2 linked regions of the Drosophila melanogaster genome follow. The protein of the gene in region 1 interacts with the protein of each later gene in a pairwise test. Each region holds a gene or a part of one and is shown in the gene's direction. Other genes may lie near its edges.

The links. Proteins that work in one complex are often made in the same cells at the same time.
Region 2: the proteins of CG6891 (region 1) and Fatp2 interact in a two-hybrid assay, tested with the Drosophila melanogaster proteins (one large-scale study listed by BioGRID).

What each region holds. Positions count from the first base shown.
Region 1 is NC_004354.4:18,773,414-18,781,235, forward strand, and holds the start of CG6891 (uncharacterized protein), read left to right. Parts: upstream 1-1,814; 5' UTR 1,815-2,165; coding exon 2,166-2,216; intron 2,217-3,084; exon of another isoform or gene 3,085-3,442; intron 3,443-6,219; exon of another isoform or gene 6,220-6,432; intron 6,433-7,267; coding exon 7,268-7,591; intron 7,592-7,664; coding exon 7,665-7,781; 3' UTR 7,782-7,822. Other genes in the region: CCKLR-17D3 (Cholecystokinin-like receptor at 17D3), read right to left, coding at 1-372.
Region 2 is NT_033778.4:23,053,501-23,061,473, forward strand, and holds the start of Fatp2 (fatty acid transport protein 2), read left to right. Parts: upstream 1-1,973; 5' UTR 1,974-2,079; exon of another isoform or gene 2,080-2,173; intron 2,174-3,908; 5' UTR 3,909-4,016; coding exon 4,017-4,133; intron 4,134-4,747; exon of another isoform or gene 4,748-4,881; coding exon of another isoform or gene 4,882-4,965; intron 4,966-5,043; coding exon of another isoform or gene 5,044-5,196; exon of another isoform or gene 5,197-5,293; intron 5,294-5,554; coding exon 5,555-5,793; intron 5,794-5,851; coding exon 5,852-6,496; intron 6,497-6,555; coding exon 6,556-6,757; intron 6,758-6,815; coding exon 6,816-7,757; 3' UTR 7,758-7,973. Other genes in the region: CG44253 (uncharacterized protein), read left to right, coding at 4,882-4,965, 5,044-5,196.

The sequences.
Region 1 (7,822 bases):
GAACAGCAGAATCATGCTATAGCTGGGTATCAGCCAGACGGGCATGCCAGTGGAAGTACTGGAGCTGGAAGCGGGTGTGGAACTGGGACTTGGACTTGAACTGGTGCCCAGGGAGAAGGCCAGTTCGGTGACCAGGTCACTGGGCTCGGTGTCCATATAGCCATCCCTATCATCATCGCCATAGCTGCTTGTCGCATTGCCCGCCAAGGAGACAGTGCCTCCGTTTCCAGTTCCATTGTAGGGTGCCACGTTGAGCGACACTATGTGACCCGCCGCACTTGGCGCATTGGCATAGTAGTCGAGCAGTGCCCTATAGGCAGCCGCTGCAGCCATGGCCGCCTGGTCGGCATCCCCCTCCTCGTAGTTGAACATCCCGGATGACCGGGTGATTCGTGGCAATCACTGGCCACCACCGCCTGACATGTCCCGTTGCGGGTCACCGAAAAAAATAAAATAAAATTTCACTCAATTGCTATTGAAACGGCGACGCTTGCGCGCAGGCTGGCAAAGATTGCGATATGGAACTCGGGGGTATCCGAGCACACGAGCTGGCGGCTTTGGCTGCCAGGAGAGGGCTCGCCTGCTACCGTTGCGGGTAACGCGTCGTGGGCAACTGACGACTGGCGGACGAGGACGACGCCTCCGCTCCGCTGGGCTAGCTGCCGCAACATGTTGCGTGGGCGATGCCGAATGGCGCAAACTCACCACGGCAACTTGTGGCTAGCAGCATGCTGCCAGGCAGCCCTGTTGCCGGGCAACTCCCATGTTGCGCGGAGGACGTTCCCTGCCGATTGGGACAAATTAATACGGTGCACTGCATCATCCATGGCGTCTGCAGCGGCGGAGCAGCTGCTGTTCGGCCCACGCACCGCGCTAATCATCAAATCAGCCGCATTCCTACGGCACTTGAGTGCCAGAGAATACAATCTCGGCTCGTTATGTGTTTGCACAAATGTTCTGCGCTAATTCCACGGATCGCATTCCCAGCCGACAAGCTGGCAGGGATCAGTGCTGATCTAGACATAGTTTTGGATATATAGCGATTCCGATTAGCACCTATAGCATCTATTTCAAAGACTACCTTTTCGCTTGCAATTGTTGCTCGTTTTTTCGGCGCAGGAAGTGAATGGAATAGCCCTCGATGAAGGAAAATAACATGACCGGGAGCTGCAGTGGTAAGACGTGACTCCACTGGGATACTGGATATGACTATGCCAGGAATCCGTGTTGCCGAAGAAACCCAATAAATCCAATAAATTCATGTTTTGATAGAATAGATAGAATTCACTTCTCGTAAGCCTCTTCACCATCGAGGAAGAGATCTTCTTCAAGGGATTCAGCTGATCCTTAAGGACGTACATAGTTTAGATGGAGGAGTACAGTCGTTGTTTTTCTATCCATCTGACTATACATATATTTGCGCACGATGTTATGGTTTCCTGTGGCCATTGCCAGTTAAGATGGCTAACACGAAGTATTTATGCAAACTTCATTATCATTATAGGAGCATCTAGCAGACTAAATTTTCTCGCGGTGTACGCATAAAACACTAGCCAACATCTGGCTTTTTTTGGTGTTTCCGAAATGCCTGCACTGAAAATGAAAATGAAAATAAAGCCAAATGCGGCGACATCGTCGCAGTTCGCCCGCTCTCGCTTGCTCCCCACGCAGCCGTCTCTGTCGCACCTGCTGTTTGTCTAACAGCTGCCGTGGGGCCTTCTGGCCAGTGCATCTCGCTCGCACGCACGGCGACTGCGCCGCCGACTTCGGCGGTCGACGGTCGGCACTTCATTCGGAGTTGCAGACGCCGGCAACGCCGCATTCGTGAGATACAACTCGTGGTGGTCGGACGAAGTTCAGCGGCTGCTCTAATATCTGGATATCTGGAACTGTGCTGGTTCTGTCCATCGCTCTTTGTGCGCTTGGATTGTGTTTTTTTGTTGTTTTTCTGGCGCTGTGTATTTTTGTTTTCGTTGTCATTGTGCCACTCTGCCACTCTGCCACTTTGTCACCTTGCAAACGGTCAACTCTTCCCGCCAGACCAGCACTCCGTTCCCCTTCGAGACTCACCCGCGATCCCAGGAAGCTGTTCCCAAGAGCACCAGCATCCCAGCTGCGCATTGAAAACCATATCTACATCCACATCCAGAACACAGCGCACCAGCATGTCGGACGGCATCGAGGTCGAGCAATTGGTGGAGAGCAAGCCGAGAAGGGTGAGTAGTGGGGAGTGGGTTGGGCACACATGGAGTTCGAGTTGGAGTTGGAGATGGATGGAGTCGGTAGTCCTGCTCCGGGCAGGGACCATGAAATGTGTGTGTATACCGGCAGGGGACGACCGAAAATTAAGAATTATAAAAGATTGGATGGGGCAGCCAGAAGTCCAGAGAGTCAGAGAGCAGGCCGGAGAGATATCTTATAAATGCACCGAAAGAAAACGGGTACTCAGTATGCTGATCACTTTTAAGGCTGAGCCAATCCGATGGCACAACCTTAAAATGGAAGAAAGTTCTAATCACCACTACATTATAAATACCTACAATTAAAGAATGCTAAAAAAAAATAATATTCTCTTGAGAATAATGATCGATTTTCGAACTTTAAATTGTTCAAATATATATTGAAAAATATTGGGGATTAGTAGAAATATACAATAATATAAAAATTCAATTACCAACAGTGGTATTGAACTCGGACATTGGCTTTAAGGATACAAAATACAGTTTTCTTCCGGTGTACACACTGGAGTTGCTGAAGCCCAGGCCCATGCGGCGTGTGTGTATATCGCTGGGCATGCGTGAGTGTCTGTAAATAACTCTGACATTGGCTCGCCGGCGACTCCGCTCCACAAGAACCGGCCCCAGAGGGCCAGAGGTCCAGGAGGCGGGGTGGCAGCTGGGTTTTATGGCTCTGGCTGGCTGGGCGGAAAGGGGCAGGGCAGGGCAGGAACAGGGACTGAGTACCGAGGGGCAATATCATCTTGGCTGGATGCGATTGCGGGGGCGGATGCAGATTGTGGGGGCGACTCCGAATCCGAATCCGAACCCAAAAACTGAATCCGAATGCGACGCCTTCGCAGCGATGCATATCAAGTTCAAGTGCGTTTGCAGTGCGGCTGCCGCTGCTGCACTTGCTCGCTGGGATCTCGAGACACCATCGATACCCAACGAAGACGCTGCGGTTAATGCGGCGCAGTCCGTCGCCCTGGCAAACACGTATAGCTTTCCAGATTACGGTATTTAGCGGGCACTGGGAGCTGGGTAAATGGTTGCAGTGCCATTATCTTGCGGGTACTTCGTTCAGCTGATCGCAAGATCTGCGTTTCATGTGACTTTTGGTGCACAGCACTTGTTCGCCAACCTAATCTCTATGGCATCAAACAAAACGATTGTGCAGGCCAATAAATATTACAATTTCGAGGTTTCCAAGTGCAGGCAAACAAGTGAGTAATAAAAGTGTATGGAATCGATGGGGATATCGGCCATTCCACACCCTTTCAATGCTCGGGAATCGCTTCCTGACGCGCCAATTTTGGTCATCCACTCCCCGAGTCGTCGTCGTCGTCGTCACCTTCAGGCGGCATGAATCACGCACTCGGAACCTCGTTTCCCGCAACCCGCAACCCGTACCCCATACCGATACCCCGTACCCATCAGAATGACCATCCACAACCCCATCCGGCATCCCAGATCCCCCGACTCCGGGCGTCTGGGGCGTGAGCAGCCACAAAACAGTTTGCTCCTTTGTTTCCTGCACTGTTTGTGCTAGTGTGCGTGGCGAATGAAACATCGACGGCAGCGGAATAAAAATAAGAAATAAAATGAAATGAAATAAAGTAAAGTAAAGTGGGGGAAAAAGAACATTGACATATCGGCGGTCCCAGACCCGGAGCAAGTACGTCATTGCGACTGCGCTGCGGCAACTGGCAATTTGTCACAACATTGCCAATTATTTTTTTTGCTTGTTTTATTTATTTTTTTTTTTTTTTTGGACTTAGTCTGGCCAAGGCGAAGCGGTTAATAACCGATTCGCTGCAATTTATTGGTTATTTTCCAATTGCCTTGCCAATGAGTCAGTTGCATCGACCCACGAATATTCCGCATATTGTGTTTTCACTGTGCATGTATGTCATATATATATCTGCATCGCCTCTCCTTTATTTTCCTTTATTCATGCCCGATCGTATTATTTGGAATTTTTTTCGTTTCTTATCTGAAATTCATTAGTCAACATAAAACACTTTCGGTCCACTTGTACATACACAATGAAAAAGCGAATAAAATACAAAATGTTTAGTGCAATCGAAAGTGAATACTCTAACTTTTATTGTTCATACTTCAGTATTTGCTTTATGAGCTCACGATCTATATATACCATACAATTAGATATATAAACTATACAAACAGAGTTAACTTGAAATAATGTCAGTGGTGTATACCAGGCATCGAATGATAAAAGATACGGATATAATACCATTCACTCTGTAGTTCTCGATAGCTTGCTGTTTACTTAAGGACAGGATTATTTACATACAATACGTTCTCATAGATGTTTATTTTAAAGGTATCCCAAGAATTTCTACAACTGCGATACCTTTCACAAGGGTATCAGCGTTGAGTTACGCAGCAAGTCAGTTTCAAGCACCTGGCGCTGGGGATTCGGTTTCGTTTTCGTTAGCAAATTGTTATTTGCTGTATTATGCTTGGTTACGTTTAGCTGCAGTTATAGCCGCGTTTGATGCATCGCCGGCCCGCTCATTGCCAGATATCGATGGATATAGCTATAGATACTATAGCTACATATATCTAGCTGGCAATGCAGCGTGCTGTATGAATGCACACATGGGCATATATGGCTCATTACGTACGAATCCACATATATAGATAGATATAATACATATGTACATCTATCTATCGGATATGGCCGCAAGCCATTTGAGTAGCGCGAATTGTTTGGCAGATGGCTTTCCTGCTGGAAAGGTGGCTAACTCAATGGATCTGTTAGGATTATTGGTGGTTCCAAGTGAAACTGAAAATATGTATGCATATACATTTCCTGTCATCGCTACAAGGTTACTTATCAGACTGTTGCTCACTGTTTTCCATCGAGAATCACGAATCACGATTAACCGTATCAATTATGGACTGGCTACTGTCGCTCGCTTTTCTATGCGAATCTTTCGAGGATGACGCACTCTGACTTTCCTTGAAACTATTGTAGTTTCCCTTTTTTCGATATATTTCCTGAAGCCAGCGCAATATCTCGATTCCTATGACTAAGCGTCAATCTCTGCTGAATTTTTATGGCGTGTAAAATTGGAACAGGCGAGCCCTACAGATTTAACCGGCACTAATTGCCCGGGCGATCCCAAGAACTTTCGGTAATAAATCAATTACAGTTCCTTTAGTTTTGCGACAGTTTTCTTATCAGAGCAAATAGATGGCATTGCGTCAATTCCGGAGGTGGGGCTATCCGAGCCTATCCTATCCGATCTTTGGGTGCACTCCCAGCCCAACTGGAGTGATCTAATTTGTCGTGTTGTCATTGTGTCAGAAGTGGAGATATGGCCATATAGGCATATATATGTATATAGATACATATGTGCGAACGTTATCGGGCTTATCGGCTGGAAACTTAATTTCAGCTAATTTTAGCCAACAATTTGGCTCACGTACCCGTGGAGGTTGCAGGAGGAGCACCGACATTTCTATATACATTTGTATCTGCTATCTTGCTTGTTTGGGGGAAAATTTGTCGGGTATTTTCGGTGGGTCATTCGCTGCAACGGTTTCTTAGTCGTCCGCTCATTTTTGGCACAGTTTGCGTCCGCATCTTGTTCATTTTTTTTTTTTTTTTGCCTGCCTTCCGACTAATTAATTCAGAGCCACGAAACGGGAGATTCAGAGCTGTTCCATAGTTCTATGCGACGCATAGAATACACATACAAACTCCAAGTTCTTACTGCGTCGCGTTGTGAAAGTCGTCGCCCGAAACATCTTTGGGTTTAATTGTTTGGCTTTTGATATTTTCGACAGTCGTCGCTTTTCTAATTGATTTTTCTCACCAGACGCCGTACTCTCCGGTCATTGAACGCATTATAGAGCGATCTCTATCTCCATCTTCCCATCGGTATCTGTATCTGTATCTGTATTTGTACCTTTAGCTGTATCTGTATCCGTATCTCTGGCCCAGCTTCAATGTCTATTTATACGCGAGTCTAGTTCCTGACTCCAAGCCCGATCCATTTGGCTGGCAGTTGGACCAACAGTCATTTGGCTCTCTTTGTTTGTTGTCATCCCGTTCCGACGACCCCAAGTCACTTATCAAATCTCTGACCTGCTTTCCGCCGGCTGCTGATTGAAAATTGTCACGCGTAAATTGATTTTAATGCGGCGATCCGCTTAAGACAATAAGAGTGCACTACGTGAAAGGGTAGTTTTCCGATCCGTACTACAAGTATACTCGTATCAAAAACCATCGATCCAATCGCTTTACACGCTTTCCACGCATCTAAGCTGAGCCTAACTTTGTGCACATAATGCTACCCCAAAGATCACTTAATAAACCACAATTAAAATTAATCTTTAGCTAACCAAAATCGTATTGAGACTTGGTTTTTTACATTTCACTATCAAGCCATTCGAACTTATCAAGCAATTTAAATTCATTTACATATCGATATTTTTAAATCATCATATTTTTGGGCTTTGAACCAGAACCCTGAACCCTCATATGTGTGTGCTGATATCATTATCAAAAATGCTGTAATTTAATATGCGGGTATGTTCCAGTATGTTATCATAATAAAGCCTTTATTTTTTCTTCGAAATATGTACATATTTACATTGGCTACTTTTCCGCTGGCCCGCTGGTATTATGTTTATAAAGCACTAAAGCGGCAACAAATTGCTTTCCGTGAATCTGCCCGAACGTAATGCAAGTGGGCGATGCAATGGCGTGCCTATTCCCCTGGCCGACTTGAGGTTGCCTGACACGGAAACAAGTCGAATTGAATGTAATATAACCATCGAAAGCGAAAGCACCGCTTAAATCTGACTCATAGATGGCGCCGTCAAGAGTACTTGGCCCCGCATTGAGTACATACAATACATTTCGCTATCGATGGGCCAAAGCGGATGATCCATTCGCCTTGGCGAAACGATTCGGACTTGGAATACATGATTAAGATATATACTTCCGTCTGAAAGTTGCTTATAGTTCCCCTCTTCGCTTGCTTATAATCCTCTTCCCCCTTGCTCTTTCGCAGATGCCGCTGGCCACGTCGCTGGAGAAGGACTCGATTCGCGAGGCCTACGAGGATGTACGCTCCGATCTGACAGACACCGAGTGGGCGGTATTCAAGTTCGATGGCGCCCAGATTATTGTACATGCGCGCGGTCAGTGCTTTGAGGAATTCCGACAGCAGTTCGGCGACTCGGAGCGCGCCTTTGGCTACATACGCATCCAGATGGGTGACGAGATGTCCAAGCGCAAAAAGTTCATCTTCCTGACGTGGATCGGGCAGGAGGTGGGCGTCATCCAGAGGGCCAAGATGTCCACGGACAAGGCGCTGATCAAGGATGTCCTCAACGTGAGTAGCCAATAGCTAGAGATGCCAGAGCCCAGAGGCAGAAATAGATCCTCTCATCTCTAATCTCTTGCAGAATTTTGCCGTGGAACTTCAGGCGGGAGTGGAGGCCGAGCTGGACATTGAGCTCTTCCGTGAAGCACTGAACCGTGCCGGCGGCGCCAACTACGGAACGGGCATCCGGGATAACTAAGCGGCCTCCAAGTTACTTTACATATACATTTTTTTTTGCAA
Region 2 (7,973 bases), on another chromosome or scaffold:
ATATCGCCTTGAAATTGAATTCTTCATTTCGGGAACTTGCTTCTTTTTTGGTCGTCGAGGGATTGCTTCTTGGGTTCCTCTTTAGTACTTCATTATGGACGCCCTAACGATGTTGTTTTAATGATCTCAAAGACTCGACAGAAATCCACTTGACAAAATCCACAAGCGCAGGCAGAAGTTCCCTTCTCAAGTACCGAACTGCGCAGAGGGAAGAGCGGAGGGCGAAGGGCGAAGGGCAAGCCCCCGAAGGGTAAAATATATTCCAGGCTATATATATAAAAAAAAATGCAAAGTATATATATATATATATAAACTGCACAAATGTGCGGCTGCCTTTTTTTGCACAGACACTTTATGTCTGCTGGGAAACGTGTGAAAAAGACCATCGAATGTCGGGCATATCTTTGGAGCCTTGTGCTATTGGTATATCTTGGCGTATCTACGAGCTGTTGATTGGCGGGAACTATAAAAATTGTTAGGGCTCCCACAGCCATGTAATGCCATTCGAAACTTTCTGTTGACAGATATGAATTATGGCTCACAGGTAGCCGAATGGGCTATGAAATTTCGGTTCCGACGAAGGACAAGGCAAGTTTGTAAAGGACATAGAGCTATGAATGTATAGTGCTTAATTTTGGTCCAGCCTATTCTTTTAAAGGAAATTTTTCTCATTTGCTTTTAAGCTTATAATTTACTAATATATTTAGCGATTCTGGATATTGCTATACTTCTCGTGATTCAATTGTTACTCATTAGGTCGAAGTTCGTACAATTACAGCCTTAGTAGAGCTTTGAGTTCGTATACCCGTATTATTAGCGCTATTTAAACTACAACGATAATCTCGTTAAGTGGGTTCAGCTTTATTGTAATATGATTAGACGATATGAAAGCTTGTTGTATTAGATATAAATGTAGCTCTAAGCGAATAAAAGTGCCTTGCAAGTATTTTGAGCTGTCATTCAGCTGCAAACCCAAAAGTATTGGGCAACCCACAATTGACCCAGTTGCAATGATCCGAGCAAAACTGCTTAGCTATAGCACAGCGGATCTATCTCGCCCAGTCCCACAGACTGTTTATAACAATTAAGCCCAGTCATGGCTACCGATCGGAGCCAAAGAAATGAGCATGCAAAATTATATTTAATAAACGGTTGCGTTGCACTTGCCTCGGAGTTTTGTGGCGGGAGGGGGCAGGAGTTGGCATAGGGGTAACGCATCGATTGCGCGTACAAAGATACATGTACATACATATGTACTTTGTAGATACACGCGAAAAATACATTTCAAATTACAAGCCCACAAATGGTTGATATTATCAGTTTAATGATGTTTTAATTGGTGCAATAGAATAGGCTTAACTAAGCTTTACTTTAGTCCGGCAAGAGGCTTGAAACAACCTAATTGGGTTAACAACAATGCATGTGAAGGGTAAACTCCCAGGGTATTTCTCCCAGTGCACTTATGCATAGAAAGAAAGGCGAGGGAAAGAATCGCAAAGCAGAAGTCGAGGGCAACAGCCACAAAGAGAGTACGAATACGAGACACGTGTTTTGAATTAAATGTGCGCTCCATTCCGCGCGACCTTCCCCTGCGCCCCCGCCCACTGCAGCCGCCCACCCCCCTTTGCAGCCCCCCACCACTCCATTATGGCCACATTCTTGACGCTCTGTGGTTGTTGACATGTTAATGGCCACAAAGGAAACTCGCTTAAGAGGCACGGCAATTGAAACAATACACATGTTGCATGCGGCATAATCACGTGCAAACACAGCAGAATTGCAACCGACAATTTCAGCCGGCCACCAACAACAAGAACAGCGCCAGCACCTTGTTAACTTGGCTCAGCAGCAGAGCTTCGACCCGAAGCTTGGCTTTTGCCAGTGTGCCAGTGTGTATCTGTGTTCGCGACGGCGACCTGTTGCCACCGACGTCGACGTCGGCGGCGGCAGAGCTCCGGCAACAACGGATCCAGAGGCAGTTAGCTTTTTGGGCCCAGTTGCTGAACGAAGCTGTTGGCCGAAAGACGTCGCCGGCTTAAACTTCGACTTAAACTCGCACCAAACTGCAAAAAACATCAAGTAAAATTCTATAGAAATATCGGTTAAAAACATCCGAGAAAGTTTAATAATTAAACGATAGGAAAGATCTACGAAACAGTGAAACATGGATAGTGTAAATTTCTATATTAAGGACTCCACCTTTATTGAAAATAATTTTATCCAAGTGCTTCATAAGTATAATTATATTTTAGTGATTTTTGATCACCCTTACTTACTACAGAGAGTGATAAGATATTTCCTAAAAGCTCGGAATCCAACAAGTTTTTTAAATGCAGTCGCTATACCTCAAAAACGACCTTCGAGAGCAAGATTGTTTCGATTCTGGTTGTGCGTGCAATATATCCATCAAGTTAATAGAGTGAACAGCAATTTCAGCCGCAATTTGATCGCATCCCACATCTCATCTCGAATCTCTTAATCCCCATCCTCTGAATGTTCCGAGCTTGAGATGTGGGGACCCACAAAAGGCAAAGCAATTTAACAAAAGAAAGGAGAAGAAGATTTCAGTGAAAGTGATGAAGCGTCGCCAACATCCGCATCTCTTAATGATCTCTGCCGATCTTATGTGTTTGCCTATATGTGTGCCACAAAAACTAAAACAAAAAAAACAAAAAAAACCACAGTGATGAAGTAGCTACACTAAATGTTTGCATGGGCAAAATGTTGTAAAAAATAATTTGCAACACGAGGACTGAAACTTAAGTTTTAAACTAGCCGCAGGCTGAGTAAAAGCCATGTTTATGCATTGGCAAATTAGCGAACAAGCCGAAAGGGAAATGGGCTAAACATATTTTAATGATTAATTTTTTGACACAAGAGCCATTAGCTTAAAAGGGTTTCTATTGAAGTCAATTAGCTAAACTGTATCTTTTGGATTTTTATTATTCATGCACTTCGTTTAACATTGGAGAACAGCTTTGTACTTGTTATATGCTTGTTAAGTTATATAAATTCTTGAATTCTTTATTTACTTCAACTACTTATTTCAAGTAAACAAATGCCCATTTCCCATTTAAATCTATCCTCCAAGCCGAGACTAACTTCCTGAACGCAAAACTCACTTTAATTGCCTCTTCCATTAACTGAGTTTACCATACATTAACCTTTATGGGCCTTTATGGGCCACCTGTAGCACCGCTCAACTTGGCTTTTGCCATTCGTCGCGCATAAACAACCGCATCAGACCCCAAAACTCACCTTGAGACCACGATCGCTGAATAGCTGAAAAGCTGAACTCAAAAACGTCGCAGCATCATTCAGGCCGCGTCAAAAAAGGCAATTTTTCTCCATCATTTCTACTGGTGTCACCTGTGCACTACAATTGCGAATTCCCCACATCGTTACCACGGCTTTTTCTCAGCTTTTTCGCCTTTTCTCTTTTTGTTTGCTATCTGTTTGTCTGTTGCCTGCCCCTTCCGAGTGCTGCATGTCGCCTAATTACCCATCATTTCGCTGCGAAAGTGCACTGAGAAAAACTAGAGCACTGTAGCCCCCAGTTAACAGCTAAGCAATTTAGTGAAATGTATATGTATTTTATATCGAAGCATATATATGTAGAATATTTTTATTTAAACATGTAAATAAAGCATATTACGATAGTGAGCTAACGAATTAAAGATCCATGGTTCTCATTAATATATATTATTAACATATAATTAGTTTTTCTAAGTGTTTTTAAAAGTACTTTCGTATAGATACTATTTTATAGGTCTCATACTAAAGTAGCATAAATTAACCGAGCTCATTTATAGGTTTCCCGCTATACCTTTTTTATGTTGTACTATCCATAAAAGTGTACAACATTCAATTAATTCTTAAATGTCTTTTTTCTTTGTGCAACCGCCCAGAAATCTCAATAAAAGCCACCTGAGCAGCGCAGTAATTGAAGACCAAACCAAGCTTAACATCAGATTGCAGCCTCTGTAGATGTGCTGTTAAGTCCGAAATCAATCAAAATGTGCACCGCTGGCGTGGTTGATGGTGGTGCTGGGGCCACTACAGGTGGTGCTGATGCGGCTGATAATAGTGGAGCTGCGCCCGCCCCAAGTTCGACGGCCTTGAACCCCCCACAGGTAAATAACACACGACTATGCTCACCTACTCGCACGAGCGTGGTCAACATATGTACATTTTTTTTGGGGTTTCGCGCTTGATTCGCTTTGTTGTTCCATGGGTGGATCCCCCGGCCCTGTCCCGTCGCTCCCCTCGCTGCCAAACTAAACCTTATCTGACGACAAAATAATACTCACGTTGCCATCAAAAACAAACATCGACAAAAACCGCTGAAAACCGAAACCAGTTTACTTTTGGTCCGCCGATTTAACCGGGACTAGGTCTGGGTCTCGAATATTATGCGATCGGTCATCTGTGCGGATAGAGCTCATAATCAGGTTTTATATAAAAGACTAGTGCAGCCTAAAGTAAGTCTTTCGGCGGAGTTGGTCAGAAACTATTTGAAAGTCAAGATCAGGGTGACTTCGAATGGTTTTCAATGGAGGTTATGGAAATAAATTGCTTTTGAAGTGGGGAAACAGGTTAAAAGATCTGATTTTAAGCTAAGTATGTTTTTCTTGTGGTGCACATCATCAATAGTTTTAAGTGCAAAAGATCATTTAATAAAACCTAAGGTCGTATTAACGAAGTTTCGTCACAGAACTAAATGAAATGAAATCTGATCATGTTCAAATTCAATGTTACATTACTTCTGCGAACCAACTGTCAGTTTAACAAAAAATAGACAAAACCCATAAACAAACAGGCAGACAGCCGAACCATTGAAGCGCCAAGGGTCAAAAGAGTTGAGCTTGAGATTTGAATACCATGATGACGGGCACCGACGATAGTCCGTTGGTGGAGGAGGGCGGTCCGAAAGCCAACCAGTATCGACTGACCATTTGGCACAAGGTAATCTGAAGACCACGGACACACACAGAGAGATCATAGAACGTACTATACAATATATCTATTGCACCACATAATTAGGTTGTGTTCTTTATGCTGGGACTCATCTCGGCGCTGACCATCTGCGTTCTGGTCAGATTGTCGAACCGATTGGCCTCCGATGCCGAAAAGAAGGCCTTGATGCACTTCCGAGAACTTTCATCCGGCCGGAATGGTCACCGCTTTGGCCACTAGATGTTGTTGTTTGTCCACATACCACTCTATATATTTTCTGTGTGTTTGCTTTTCACTGTTTTGGTTTGTTTGTTTGCAAATTGCTTAAATAAAGTGCTAATTGATTGATGCGGGTTGGGTTATGGAACTACGGTGGCTAGAGTGCAAATTAAACAACAAGCAATTAGCTGAAGATCAGGAAAAGCTTTGAATCAACTTCATCTGGAGGTGTCAGACCCGGGGGGTTATTCTATTTGCTATCTAAGACCCGTATCGCCTATGTGGGCTTACGCGGCGTATGAGTGATGCAGTCGTTGTTCTCCTTCTCGCAGTTGGCAATCTAAACACATGCATCTTTACTAAAATTGTGACTTTGTAGGTCTCCATTTCCATGAACGAACCGGAAAACCTGAAACCACCTGCCAAATCCAACTTCCGCCGTTATCTTCAGTGGATCCTAGCACCTGTCCTGACCGCCATTTCCGGTCTGATCCTCTACTACCAAGGGCCTTGGTATGGAGTGGCCACGCTATATGCCGCATTGATATCCATACTGCTGGTGCGTCCAGGATGGCGCTGGTTCTACATTGCAGCTGTTACCACACCCAGGGATACTGTGTAAGTAACAAGGATTGGGAAGTTAGTTCCAGAGTTTTTTTAAAACTGTATTCCTTAGAGCCCTCTTTGCCTACATCCGTGTGCTGCTCTTCATTAAGCGCCAGGAGCGCAAGAACCTGAACATCGGAGACATCTTTGAGTCAAATGTGGCCCGGCAGCCGGATAAACTGGCCATTGTCAGTGAGTCCCAGCAGTGGACCTTCCGCCAGGTGAACGAGCATTCGAACCGGGTGGCCAACGTGTTCCACAGTCACGGCTACAAAAAGGGCGACGTGGTGGGTCTGCTGCTCGAGAATCGCGCCGAATTTGTAGCCACCTGGCTTGGTCTCTCCAAGATCGGCGTGATCACGCCGCTGATTAACACAAACCTCCGTGGAGCCTCACTGCAGCACAGCATTACCGTGGGCCAGTGCACGGCGCTCATTTACGGCGCCAGTTTCCGGTCGGCCGTGATGGATATCGCCAAGGATCTGCCCGCCCACGTCGGACTGTATCAGTTCAACGACGAGTCCAACCAGGAGGTGGTGGCTTCCGAGGGCCTTAGCCAGGGACTGGCCCAGCAGTTGAACGGCCTTCTGGAGACGGCGGCCAAGGATAAGGTGGCCGCCGGCGCTTCTCGGGCGGATCATCACGACAAGTTGGTCTACATCTACACGTCGGGCACCACGGGCTTGCCCAAGGCAGCCGTCATCACGCATTCTCGGTAAGATTTGCCACTGGCTGCAGTAAGTTTCTCCTTTACAACGATTCCTCTACTTTCAGGTACTTTTTCATAGCTGCCGGCATTCACTACACGCTTGGCTTCAAGGATCAGGATGTGTTCTATACTCCCTTGCCCCTATATCACACCGCTGGCGGAGTGATGAGCATGGGCCAGGCCTTACTCTTCGGCTCCACCGTGGTCATAAGGAAGAAATTCAGCGCCTCCGGTTACTTTTCAGACTGCGCCCGCTTCCAATGCACGGTAACTGGCTATTGGATCATCCAATATGTTGTATTAATGTGCCTTATTTTTCTGCCAGGTGGGACAGTACATTGGGGAGATGGCGCGCTACATCCTGGCCACGCCATCGGCTCCTCACGATCGGAACCACCAAGTGCGAATGGTGTTCGGAAATGGACTGCGTCCACAGATTTGGCCGCAGTTCGTGGAGCGCTTCGGGATTCGAAAAGTGGGCGAGTTCTACGGAGCCACTGAGGGCAATGCCAACATCATGAACAATGACAGCACAGTGGGCGCCATTGGATTCATATCCCGCATACTGCCGCAGATCTACCCAATATCGATCATAAAAGCAGATCCACATACGGGAGAGCCTTTGAGGAACAGCCAAGGACTGTGTGAGAGATGCGAGGCGGATGAGCCAGGCGTCTTCGTTGGAAAGATTGTGCGGGGTAATCCCTGCCGTGAGTTCCTCGGCTACGTTGACCAGAAGGCCTCCTCCAAGAAGGTGGTCCACGATGTCTTCTCCAAGGGCGACATGGCCTTCATCTCGGGCGATCTGCTGGTGGCCGATGAGCGGGGCTATCTGTACTTCAAAGATCGGACCGGCGACACTTTCCGCTGGAAGGGTGAGAATGTCTCCACCAGCGAGGTGGAGGCGCAGTTGAGTAATCTGGCTGGCTACAAGGATGTGATTGTGTACGGCGTAAGCATACCCAACACTGAGGGCAGAGCAGGAATGGCAGCCATCTACGATCCCACTCGGGAGGTCAACGTCAGCCAGCTGGGCGTGGAACTGGCCAAATCCCTGCCCAACTACGCCAGGCCGCAGTTTCTCAGATTCCTGCGCAAAATCGACCTGACGGGCACCTTCAAGTTGCGCAAGGTGGAGCTTCAGCAGCAGGGCTTCAATCCGGAGATCATCGACGATGAACTCTTCTACGCCCAACCGGATGGCGTGTATGCTCCACTCACCCCATCCGTATACGAGAGGATAGTTAGAAACGAGCTGCGATTCTAGGAGCGCCGGACTTTGTTCTTGGGAAGAAGAAAAGTCAAGACTGTGCCTTGTATGTTGGTGAAGAGGATATCCTTTGGATTCGGCTTGTGGTGCGCCAACTACTTTTAATTCTGGCTAAGTTTCTTATTGTCCGGACAATATAAACTTTAGCATTGGAAATTTACTGTTGAAAGAGCGTTTCCGCGGGTAAATTATTATTTTGTAACTATTTCCTTC